Canis lupus familiaris: one gene and its partners. The protein of the gene in region 3 interacts with the protein of the main gene of each other region in a biochemical or structural test. Links are inferred from orthologs where the notes say so. Each region holds a gene or a part of one and is shown on either strand. Other genes may lie near its edges. The genes, in order: NPPB, NPPA and NPR3.

Evidence for each region.
Region 1: the proteins of NPR3 (region 3) and NPPB form a complex in vitro, tested with the Homo sapiens proteins (4 studies listed by BioGRID, with this or other methods). The link is inferred for Canis lupus familiaris from reciprocal best matches to the Homo sapiens genes NPR3 and NPPB.
Region 2: the proteins of NPR3 (region 3) and NPPA form a complex in vitro, tested with the Homo sapiens proteins (4 studies listed by BioGRID, with this or other methods). The link is inferred for Canis lupus familiaris from reciprocal best matches to the Homo sapiens genes NPR3 and NPPA.

Annotation. Positions count from the first base shown.
Region 1 is NC_049223.1:83,871,041-83,874,525, forward strand, and holds NPPB (natriuretic peptides B), read left to right. Parts: upstream 1-1,239; 5' UTR 1,240-1,483; coding exon 1,484-1,636; intron 1,637-1,858; coding exon 1,859-2,114; intron 2,115-2,680; coding exon 2,681-2,697; 3' UTR 2,698-2,884; downstream 2,885-3,485.
Region 2 is NC_049223.1:83,881,287-83,884,941, forward strand, and holds NPPA (natriuretic peptides A precursor), read left to right. Parts: upstream 1-1,258; 5' UTR 1,259-1,433; coding exon 1,434-1,550; intron 1,551-1,651; coding exon 1,652-1,978; intron 1,979-2,735; coding exon 2,736-2,741; 3' UTR 2,742-3,057; downstream 3,058-3,655.
Region 3 is NC_049225.1:75,721,631-75,725,278, forward strand, and holds part of NPR3 (atrial natriuretic peptide receptor 3), read right to left. Parts: intron 2,125-3,648; coding exon 1,989-2,124; intron 1-1,988. UniProt on the Homo sapiens protein: Receptor for the natriuretic peptide hormones, binding with similar affinities atrial natriuretic peptide NPPA/ANP, brain natriuretic peptide NPPB/BNP, and C-type natriuretic peptide NPPC/CNP.

The DNA of each region.
Region 1 (3,485 bases), on a different chromosome or scaffold from region 3:
CTGTACCTTCAGAGACGACAGTGGATTAATCTAATTCTGTCTTGCCGTCACCCTGGCAGTGATTAAGAGCATGAGGTCTGGAGTCAGACTGCCTGGGTTGCAACCCAAGCTTTACCACTTGTCAACTGAGAAAGCAGATCAATTCCTCTGAGAATCAGTTTCCCTCATTTGAAAAATGGAAACCGGTAACAGTATTTTTTCTCACATGTTTGGCAGATGCTATTTTTCTAAGGAAAGATTTGCTTCGAGGCCATAGCTTCTGCCTCTTGCTGCCTTTTCTCCGTCACCCATATCTCACTCTCTCATCCTGCTGCTTGTCAACACAAGGCATCTGGAAGGGGTGGTGACATCAGTCATGCATGCTTTAGGGGAGATTTAATCTGCTGTGTCTCTTCCCAGGGCCATTTTTCTTTGCAGCCTCATTTGTGATCACAGACAGGAGGCCGGGACCATCTGCTAACAGGAATTAGGTCATGGACGGTCAGATGAAGGAGGCACCGGGGAGGGGTGCTCCCCACACTTCTAGTGTCCTGCCAAATAGATAACCATCTTCCGGTCATCTTTGCCCTTTTTCCTGTCCTATGTTGGCTTGGTGGGGGTGGGGGGGTGAGAGGAGGCGTTGGCACCTGGAGGAGGTTTGATAGACGGCATTCCTGGGTGACTTCATCTCTGGGCTTTGCCTCTCAAAATTCCAGCCAAATCAAGCCCTACCGTGTAAGGGATGGAAGCAGGGTCAGCATTCCAGAAGTTCCTTGTCATGCTCAGGCTTTTAATCAGATGACATTGGAAAATGAGCATCCTTGTGCAGGCGGCGGGTGCGGGGGGGGGGGGCGGTGTCTCAGGGTCTCGTCCCTACTCCATGCTTGTCTTCCTGGCTGGACCTGAGTGGGGAACTAGGCCTGAGGGGAGAAGAGCCAAGACCTTTTGGGTTGAGTTTGCTCAGATGGCTCAGCACCACGGACAGCGGCCGGGCCCCGGGGAGCGGGGAGCGCAGCGCAGAGGAGGCGAGGGGGGGACGCGGAGGGGGGCGCGCCGCGGGTGGGCTGCGGGCTGGGGCTCCTCAGCTCTGAGTCACCCCGGCGCCCCGCACTGGTGGAGCTGTCTCTCCGCACTCCAGGGATGCTTGGGGGCGGAGGAAAGGCAGGGAAGGAGGGAGCGGAGGAGGCCGAGGACCTGTTGGTGTCCCCCTCCTGCCCCCCCCCCGGGGGCCAGGCCCACTTCTATACAAGGCCTGCTCTCCAGCCTCCACCCCGGCGGGTATGGTCGCAGGCGCGGAGGGGCGCATTCCCCCGCCCTGAGCTCAGCCGGCCGGAATGCGGCCGATAAATCAGAGATAACCCCAGGCGCGGGATAAGGGATAAAAAGCCCCCGTTGCCGCGGGATCCAGGAGAGCACCCGCCGCCCCAAGCGGTGACACTCGACCCCGGTCGCAGCGCAGCAGCTCAGCAGCCGGACGTCTCTTTCCCCACTTCTCTCCAGCGACATGGAGCCCTGCGCAGCGCTGCCCCGGGCCCTCCTGCTCCTCCTGTTCTTGCACCTGTCGCCACTCGGAGGCCGCCCCCACCCGCTGGGCGGCCGCAGCCCCGCCTCGGAAGCCTCGGAAGCCTCAGAAGCCTCGGGGTTGTGGGCCGTGCAGGTGAGCGCTCAGCCTGCCTGAAGGCCGCGGCGGGTGGCAGCAGGTCACGGGGGCTTAGCCACTGTCCCAAGTCCTCAGTCTCCCTTGGGAATTAGTGATAAGGGAATCAGAAAGTGACGAGATTGGGTGCCAGGACTCCATACCCAAGGCGGCGGCTTCACTTGGGTGCAAGGGTGGTTCCGCCCCGGCGTGGGTTCCTGAGGCTCAGGCCGTCCATTGCAGGAGCTGCTGGGCCGTCTGAAGGACGCAGTTTCAGAGCTGCAGGCAGAGCAGTTGGCCCTGGAACCCCTGCACCGGAGCCACAGCCCCGCAGAAGCCCCGGAGGCCGGGGAGGAACGCCCCGTGGGGGTCCTTGCACCCCATGACAGTGTCCTCCAGGCCCTGAGAAGACTACGCAGCCCCAAGATGATGCACAAGTCAGGGTGCTTTGGCCGGAGGCTGGACCGGATCGGCTCCCTCAGTGGCCTGGGCTGCAATGGTAAGCCGCCTCCCTGCCACCTTGGCTCCCCCTCCCCAGCCCCCTGGGTTCGACCCTTGGAACCCCTTCTGGGTTTGTTGTCTCGGGGGATCACACTCTGAGGAAAGGACATCTGGACATCGCTCCTTCTTGCTGACAGTCCTAAGGGCCAAGGAGTACGTTTCTGGAAATACTACGTGTGGACATCGTTGTCCAGGGTCCCTACCCACCTCCTAGCCCCCTCCTGCCTCTCGCACCCAAAGGGGCAGAATCATCTTAGGATGGAATCCAGTCGTTGTCTGGAAGCATCTCCTTGGAGCAGAAAGAGTCCTAAACATCGTCCTCGTAGCTCTCTCTGTCTGTCTGTAGCCACGAAGGCAGAGGTCAGGGTCACCAGGGCAGTGATGATTCCCAGTTAACAGAGGAGGAGACTGAGGTCTAGAGAGATGGATTATTCCAAAGCCTCAAACATCCAGATCGGCTGAGGGTGGGGGTTGGTGGCAGGGATGGCTCCTGGGCTTGGGAAGCTCGGATCCTGCCTCAGTCTCCCACCTGACGCCATCATCCCCCTCTCTCTCCTCCCACAGTGCTGAGAAAGTATTAAGAGGAAGTCCCGGCTGCAGACATCTGCATCGGATTCTTCAGCAGCCCCCTGAGCCCCTTGGAAGCAGATCTTATTTATTCGTATTTATTTATTTATTTATTTCGATTGTTTTATATAAGATGATTCTGATCCCCGAGCACGGATTTTCCACGGTGAAATAAAGTCAACCTTAGAGCTTCTTTTGAAACCGATTTGTCCCTGTGCATTAAAAGTAACACATCATTTAAAAAAACAAAACCCCCAAACCACAAACCCTTTTGTTTTCTTGAAGCTTCCAAGGATGTCTTAATGGCGGGGTGGGGACACGGCGGCGTCAGGGCTGGTCAAGCAGGAGCGGGGGCGCCTTCCTTCTCCTGAAGAGTTTTTCATGCTCTGGAACCGTCTATAAATACCCCAAGCACTCAAGACACTTTGCAGGAACTGCTCTTCAAAGTGGTGGTTTCTCCCTGGGAGTGGAAATGGGCCCTGATACGTTCGTTGGTGCAAGCGAGGGTGTGTGTCGGCCTTTGCTTTACTAGTTTCCCCTCTGCCCGGAATTGTGCGATCGATCAATTGATCGGACGCGCTCTCCTCGGTCGGTGGTTTTGTTTCCAGGAAGGCTAAGCGGAAATCTCAGAGATTAGGGGCCGTGTGTGTGGGTGCGAGGCACGCTGGCTTGCTCGCACCTCTAAATGGGGGTGAGCTCTCCACTCTGCCCCAAACCTCAGCCTCCAGTCTTCGATTCCTGATGTCATCCTGGGAAGGATTTTAAAACCCTGAGATTAATTGTATTTCCATGTCTCAAGCCC
Region 2 (3,655 bases), on a different chromosome or scaffold from region 3:
ACGGGCGGTGATGGCAGTTAGGTCATCCACACGGAGCTCTCGGTACAGCGTCTGGCACATACAGCTGCTCAATAAAGGTAACCGTCAGTACCATCTTGCAAACAGATGGCCCTTCATGGTGCGTTCACACCTTAGTTCACCTGACAACCTTGGTGGGGGGAGCAGGTTTTTACAAATGGGGAAAATGAGGCGGTGATGATGTGTGTAACCCGGTTTGTCTGGGGCTACGATGCAGGCCTCTCCACCCTTCACACTTAGCATTTGCCCCCCGGTACCTGGTGCATCGAGTAGGAAGCAATCAATCCATCAATGTGGAGTTCGGTGCTCAGTGAATGGAAGCCACTCGTTACACGTGGACAGGACAGTCTTGCTGCCTGTAAATTCTCTTTGGGGCCAGGAAAGCAGAGGCCTTGGTGGCTCATCACTCGTGTGGCCTCGCAGCAGGACGCAGGAGGCATTAAGGGAAACCGTGTGCCACTTCCCCACCCGCCGACTCGCCAAGGGAGGTTTCCCGGGAGGGTTGGGGGCGTCGGAAGCCTCACATTCAGAGCCTGGGGTTCTATGGGCAGCGAGGTGATGGGATGAAAATGTTGGCATCTCTACAAACCCACCTCCCTCCACACTGCAGAGGGGAAGGAGGAGGGGCTTGGCGGAGGGATGGCTGTGTTTCCAAAACTTTGCTTGGTGTTTATGTCTGGGAGCTGAATTCTTGGGACACTCATCACATTTGGTTCCAGGCTGACTATTTAATACTCTAAAAAATAACTCCCTCTTCACCTGACCGCTGAGAGCGAGTGCCAGGAGCGAGGGCGGCCCAGCTGGAGGGGAGGTCTGCCCCCACGGCCGATGAGTCAGGTGTGAGGCCAGCGTGAGCATCTGGACTAATTTGTCCCGAGCTGCAGGCTTCCTGCCACTTCCTCCCCTCCCGCCCTTATTTGGAGCCCCTGACAGCTGAGCAGAAAACCAACCGGGGGAGCTGGGCGCCGGCCAACCGTCACCCTCTGCCTCCCTGCGTGGGTCCCGTTGCTGAGGAGAAAGAAGCCCCAGGCATCGCTGTAAGATAACCAAGGACTCTTTTTTGCTCTTCTCACACCTTTGAAGTGGGAACCTCTTGAGGCAAATCAACAAGAATGTGGCTCTTGCCGCTGAGGGTCCGGGGCTGTTGGGCTGCTCAAGGTGGAGGGGTAGTGACAGGCTCTGCGGGCCTGATAGCTTTAAAAGGCCATCTTCTGCTGCTCCTCATTCAGCTGCTTTATCGCTGCAAGTGACAGAATGGGGAGGGTTCCGTCCCTCTTGTGCTCTTGGAGAGCCGGGGGGCTATAAAAAGAGGAGGCGCAGGGCAGCTGGGAGACAGAGGCAGACGGAGGCTGAGAGAGGGAGGCGAGAGGACAGGGGAGCAGCAAGCACCGGGCCACTCCTCGAGCGACGCCAGCATGGGCTCCCCCATCGCCGCAAGCTTCCTCCTCTTCCTGGCAGTTCAGCTCCTGGGGCAGACGGGCGCTAACCCCGTGTACGGCTCTGTGTCCAACGCAGACCTGCTGGATTTCAAGGTAGGGCCAGAACAGGGGCCACAGTGCGGGGCCAGGGGGCCTTGTGACGCTGTGCCGGTCAGTGAGACCTCTCCCTTTCCCTGTGTGTTCCTTTTGTAAAGAACTTGCTGGACCGCTTGGAGGACAAGATGCCTTTAGAAGATGAAGCCGAGTCTCCCCAAGCCCTGAGTGAGCAGAATGCGGAAGCTGGGGCAGCTCTCAGCCCCCTGCCTGAGGTGCCTCCCTGGACGGGGGAGGTCAGCCCAGCCCAGAGAGATGGGGGTGCCCTTGGGCGCAGCCCCTGGGACTCCTCCGATAGATCTGCCCTCCTGAAGAGCAAGCTGAGAGCCCTGCTTGCTGCCCCTCGGAGCCTGCGGAGGTCCAGCTGCTTCGGAGGCAGGATGGATAGGATTGGAGCCCAGAGCGGACTGGGCTGCAACAGCTTCCGGGTAAGAGATGCTGGGGATGGATACAGGATGGGGAGGAAGTTAGTTGTGGTTTCACCCTGTCAAAAAGTCCGGCCAGGGCATGCCTCCTGCAGTAGAGACCAGGGTGGAAGCTTACTTCCTTTGAAATGCTTGCCCCAACTTGGGGCAATGACCTCATCCTCAGCTACAGGCTGCCAAGGATACTCTAAGGGAAAAAAAAGGTACTGCCATGAACACTGGGAACTTAAAATGTTCATGGGGCCAAATCACCTTCATCCTGCTGATCGGTAGTTCATGTTTCTCCCCAGAATTGCCAGATCCCAAAGGATGAAATGATCATGACCAGGTTGGGGTGCTTGGGTGGCTCAGTAGGTTGAGCGCCCGACTCTTGATTTCCGCTTGGGTCATGCTCTCATGGGTTGTGGGATCGAGCTCCAGGTGGGGCTCCAGCCCCATGTCCATCTCCATGCTCGGCGGGGAGTCTGTTTGAGATTTCTCCCTCTGCCCCTCCCCTCACGCACACATGGATGTGCTGGTGCTCTTCTCTTTCTCTCAAATAAATAAATCTTAAAAAGAAAAAAAGCAAGCAAGCAAGCAAGCAAGCCATCGGGGTTGACTTCTAACTTTTACCGAGCAACTTGTGCACCCATTCGTGAAACTCCTGGCGTTGTCAGGCTGGGGTGGGGGGTGCTGGTGGGAAGTGAACACAGTCCTGTGAGATTGACCTTTCCAAAAGAGCCAGGTCACCAAGTCAAACTTGTGTCTGTTCTCTTTGTAGTACTGAAGATAATGGCCAGGGAGGAAAAGGAGGCCCTGGCCCGGGGGCAGACTCTGAGAGACCCTCGTCCCTTGGGGTCTCTCACTCAACTTTGTCCCAGCTCATTGCCATCAAGTTGAGCCGTGACGAGCACCGAGACCGTATTCAAGCTGCAGCCTCTTGGCGATGTTTCTCACGTTCTATGCTAAACGTAGATAACTTGGCTGAATTGTGGCTTTCCCACCCCTCCCACCCCACGCGTTAACAGTTTAGCATAGACACTCACCTGTTACTGAAAGGGGTTTGAAAACCAATAAACTTCAGCACCACGGACAGCAGCCAAGTCTGGGTTGGCGTGGTTGGCGTGCGGGTGGCGTGGTTGGCGTGGTCTTTCTTCTCCCAGTCTGAGGACCCGGTTACCTTTTGCCAGAGAGGAGAGCGCTCAGTTTCTTTCTTCTTCCTTTCAAACACAGTACGCTCTATTTCGGGGAGCAGTTTCAGGTTCGCTGCCAAATTAAGCAGAAAGTACAGAGGTCTCCCACAACCGCCTGCTGCACACACGCAGGGCCTCCCTCCCGCACGGCCAGAGCCGTGCCCTTGCTACACACCATGACTCTACACCAGCACATTCTTACCACCCGGAGCCCACACTTGACATTAGGGTCAAGCCTTGGTGTTGAGCATTCTGCGGGTTTGGACAACTTTTTTTCTCCTTTCATTCCCTCCCCAGCCCTCACCCCCAGCTTTTTCCTTGGTTGGAGGTGTGGGTGGGGCTCAAATTGCAGTTCACAATCTTGTTTCTTCACTCTGGCCTCATCACAGATCCCGAAAATGCCCCAGGAGATGGACGGAGAGGGCACTTATTTTTCAGATTTTGCTCACACTCGGGGCACTTATTTATTGAAGAGGAAACTTAACAAACATCTGGGCTTTTTTCATGG
Region 3 (3,648 bases):
TGTACAGGTAATGAAAGAGAAGCCCAAAACACTGTGTCAGGGACTAAGATGCAGGTCCTGAACCCTGGTCCAGCAATCTATACTCTGTATCAAGGCGTTTTAAATGACACCCATCCACATGATCCCCATAAGGTTAAAAACTCCAGAAAGACCATGTCCCTCAAAACCTTCTAGTTGGCTCTGTATCTCACTTAGGGTGGAACCCAAAGTCCTCAGCACAGCTTCCAGGTGCACAGGATCTGCCCTCTACCCACCCGCTGCTTCTCTGAGGGTGGCTACTAACACACTGCCCCTCACACGCTGTGCTTGAGCCACACAGGCCTCTTCGTTCTTCCAGGGGAACTCAGCACTCTCTCTCTCAACAGGCAATGCAAGGTCTTTGTGTTTGCTGCTCTGTCTAGAATGTTCTCTCCTAAATATCTACATAATTTCTTTCACTTCCCTCAGGTCTCTACACAACTGCAACATTATTAGAGACCTTCCCTGGCCCCTGTTCCTTAAAGTAACAGTCCTCCTACCACCCCCTCCTGTCACGTTCTGTCTCCCTACCCTGCTTTCTGATATAGCCCCAGAAATAGTGTATTTATTTGTTTGTCATCAATTCCTCCCCAACTACCCTGAAAGTTCAGTTGATTTCAGGGAGGTTCTTTAGTGCACTGCTGAATCCTCAGCACTTTGAACAATGCCTGGCACACAGTAGGTGCTTAAGAATATTTGATGACTGAATGAATATGAAGTTGATAGCTCCAAAGCTCCAGCAGCTGGATCATTCTCATTGACTCTCATGTCAATTTTCTTTGAGTGTGTCAGTGAAGTGAGAGGAAACAAGCACTCTGTATGCTGTTAGCAAGAATTTAGACTAGTAGACCTTGATATTTGACAATATTTAATGCACTTTCAAAGGCACTAAAAAAAGACACCAACATACATTTGGACCCAGATATCTCATGACTAGAAATGTTCCCTGTCAGATGTACTCGCAAATATTCATCAAGACGTATAAGATGCCTGTGATAGCATTTTGCATAACAGCAAAAACTGTAAAAAACTGAAGTTATCCATCAATAGGAGACTGATTAAAGGGATCTTTGTGCAGCCATATGGCCAAAATCCATGGAACTATCATTTAAAAATGTGCTGAATCTTTGAGTGCTCGTATGGCAATTTTTTTTTACTTGATATACAATTTTAAAAAGCTGAGACGAAGAGTGGCATTCATTATATATTCCTTTTGTACAATTTTTTATAAGATATACAAATGCATATGTGCTGGCAGAAGGCACAAAATATTTTTAGACCGAATCATAGGAAATTGTTAATAGTGGTTACGTTAGGGAAAGGAGACTAGGGTGGGAAGGAAAACTTTCGCTTTTCATTTTGTACGTTTTTGTACTGTTTAAATTTTCCAGCCAAGAACAGTCTCATTCTCGTACAATTTTTAAGTGTCAACAGAGGTTGCTTGAGTGATGAGATTATAGGCCTTTTTTTTTTTTCCAAGGTTCTTACACTTCTTTGTCCTTAAGAAAGCCCACAGCTGATATTTACCATTTTAAAAGTAAAATAAAAGCACAGGACTTGACTGGACTTGCTTACCATCTCAGACCACCCAGGATTGAACAGATAAATATATTACCTGGTATAATTTCTTTTAAAACATCACAGAACTCTTCACAAACTGATTATTTGTTGTGAATGAGGCTTGCGATAAATTTAATTTGAAGAAGCAGAGTTGTTATCTAAAAATCAGAAGGAGACAAGGCACTTCCTGTTTCAGTGGGACTCTACCAAAGTGCTTTCACAAGCTTTCTCTCATTTAATTTTCACAACAAGCCTGTGAGGTGGGTTGATCTTGACCTACTCTCCTTACTTCAAAGCTGAGAAAAACAAGAAACTGACAAAGTACCACAGGTGCAAGAGAGAAAAGCAGAACCAGGGAAGAAGCAGCTGGATCGCCTGCAGTGTTGTCACCTTACAGACTGAATCCTCACCTTCAAAGGTTCTGTTCCAAGTCTGCTGGATAATTTTCCCTCCATCCTTCTTGCTGTAACCAGCTCTGAGTACTTCATGTAAAGCCAGAACATAGAGGAGGATGGCATCGTGGAATCCTTCAACAAACATGTTAACCTGGAAAGGAAACCCCAGTTGGGTGAGCCCAAACACCAACGTCTCAACATTCATGAGTCATGTAGGCAAATCAAAACAGCTAACAAGTTAGACTTGAGGTCCACAAGCAGTGGCAGAGATGAGCAGAAGAGTAGCTAACAAGAATCACGCCATGGTTTTCCTGGCCCTGGCTTAGAAGGAAAACCATACCTCAGCTGGGGACTTTGGAAAGCAGACAAGATATTACAGAAGTCGAGGAAATTGTACCTGTTGGTGAGGCTAAGTATTCCAGGTGCATCTGCCTTTGGCCTCTACACAGGTGCCCTCCTCCTTCCTCACATCTGTTCTCTACCTCAAGCCAACTGAAGCCCAACCTCTCCCTTGAGGTCTTCACCATCTTCAACAGTCCCCACGATCTCTCCATGCTCTGAATGTGACACTGACTGAAAGAACAGTGCAGGTCCATTCATTCATTTTCAGACACCATTGAACACCTACTCTAGGATTCAAAAGGATTCAAAAAAGAGTAGGCACTGCCATTTTAACCTGCCCAGCATCTGTGTCCTCTCTTCCATCTCAGTTTCTCTTTCCAGCTTGTGTTCATAGTGGTTCCTGAGCATCTGACCCCTCCCTCCCAACTCTGGACCCACCCCTACCCTACTAAGCTCTAACAACAGGAATGGAAATAGGCCTGGACCCGACCGGTTTATCCCAGCAGAGTTCTAGGTCAAATAAGATACCCCTTGTCCTCAAGAAACTTAAGTTGCAAGTACTTTGGGGGAAGTCACTTAATTTCTTTGAGCCTTGTTTCATTCCGTAAGTACCATTTGAAAGTTCTGATATTATATTTAAACCCACTGAACATTCATTGAACACGAAATGAGCAAATACAATCTTGAAACCGAGTAGCTTACAAATTCTGTATAAAGTACAAAAAATAAAACTAAAAACAAGTCTTATTTCAGGAGAAAGTGACAAGAATGGAATGCCATGGAGCAGAATGAATTCAGCATCCCACAGATGACCACTGTGAGTCTTGGGGAGGAGGCATTCTATGCTCTCCCCTAGAAAGAGATCCCATAGGAAGAGAGACACACTGACCTGCATCACCTCATTCAAATACAAGCATTCACAGCAGACACAGCCCAATGTCCAGTACTAGGTGGCCTCATCCGGCCCTTAAGGATGATGAGTTTTCATCACAGAAGCAAATATTTTGGATTTGCCAAAGCCCAGTGCTGAGAGGCCGTTTAGAATAATGGCTAGAACCTGGGCTCACTACTCAGCTTTGCCACTTCCTAGATGTGTTTCTCCGCAACTCTGAGCCTGTTTTCCCTATCTGGAAAATGAGGAAAATAATAGTACTTGTCTCATGAGGTTGCTCTTAGGTTTAAATGAATTACTAGATGTGAAAGATCTCCAACAGTGCCTGACAGAGTCAGTGCTCACAGTTAGGTTTTGTTGTTGTTATTGTGTACCTATAGAGAATTATAAACCGAGGGATCCTGCTTAGCCTTTAATTCCTAATAGCAGTATTCAGAAAAT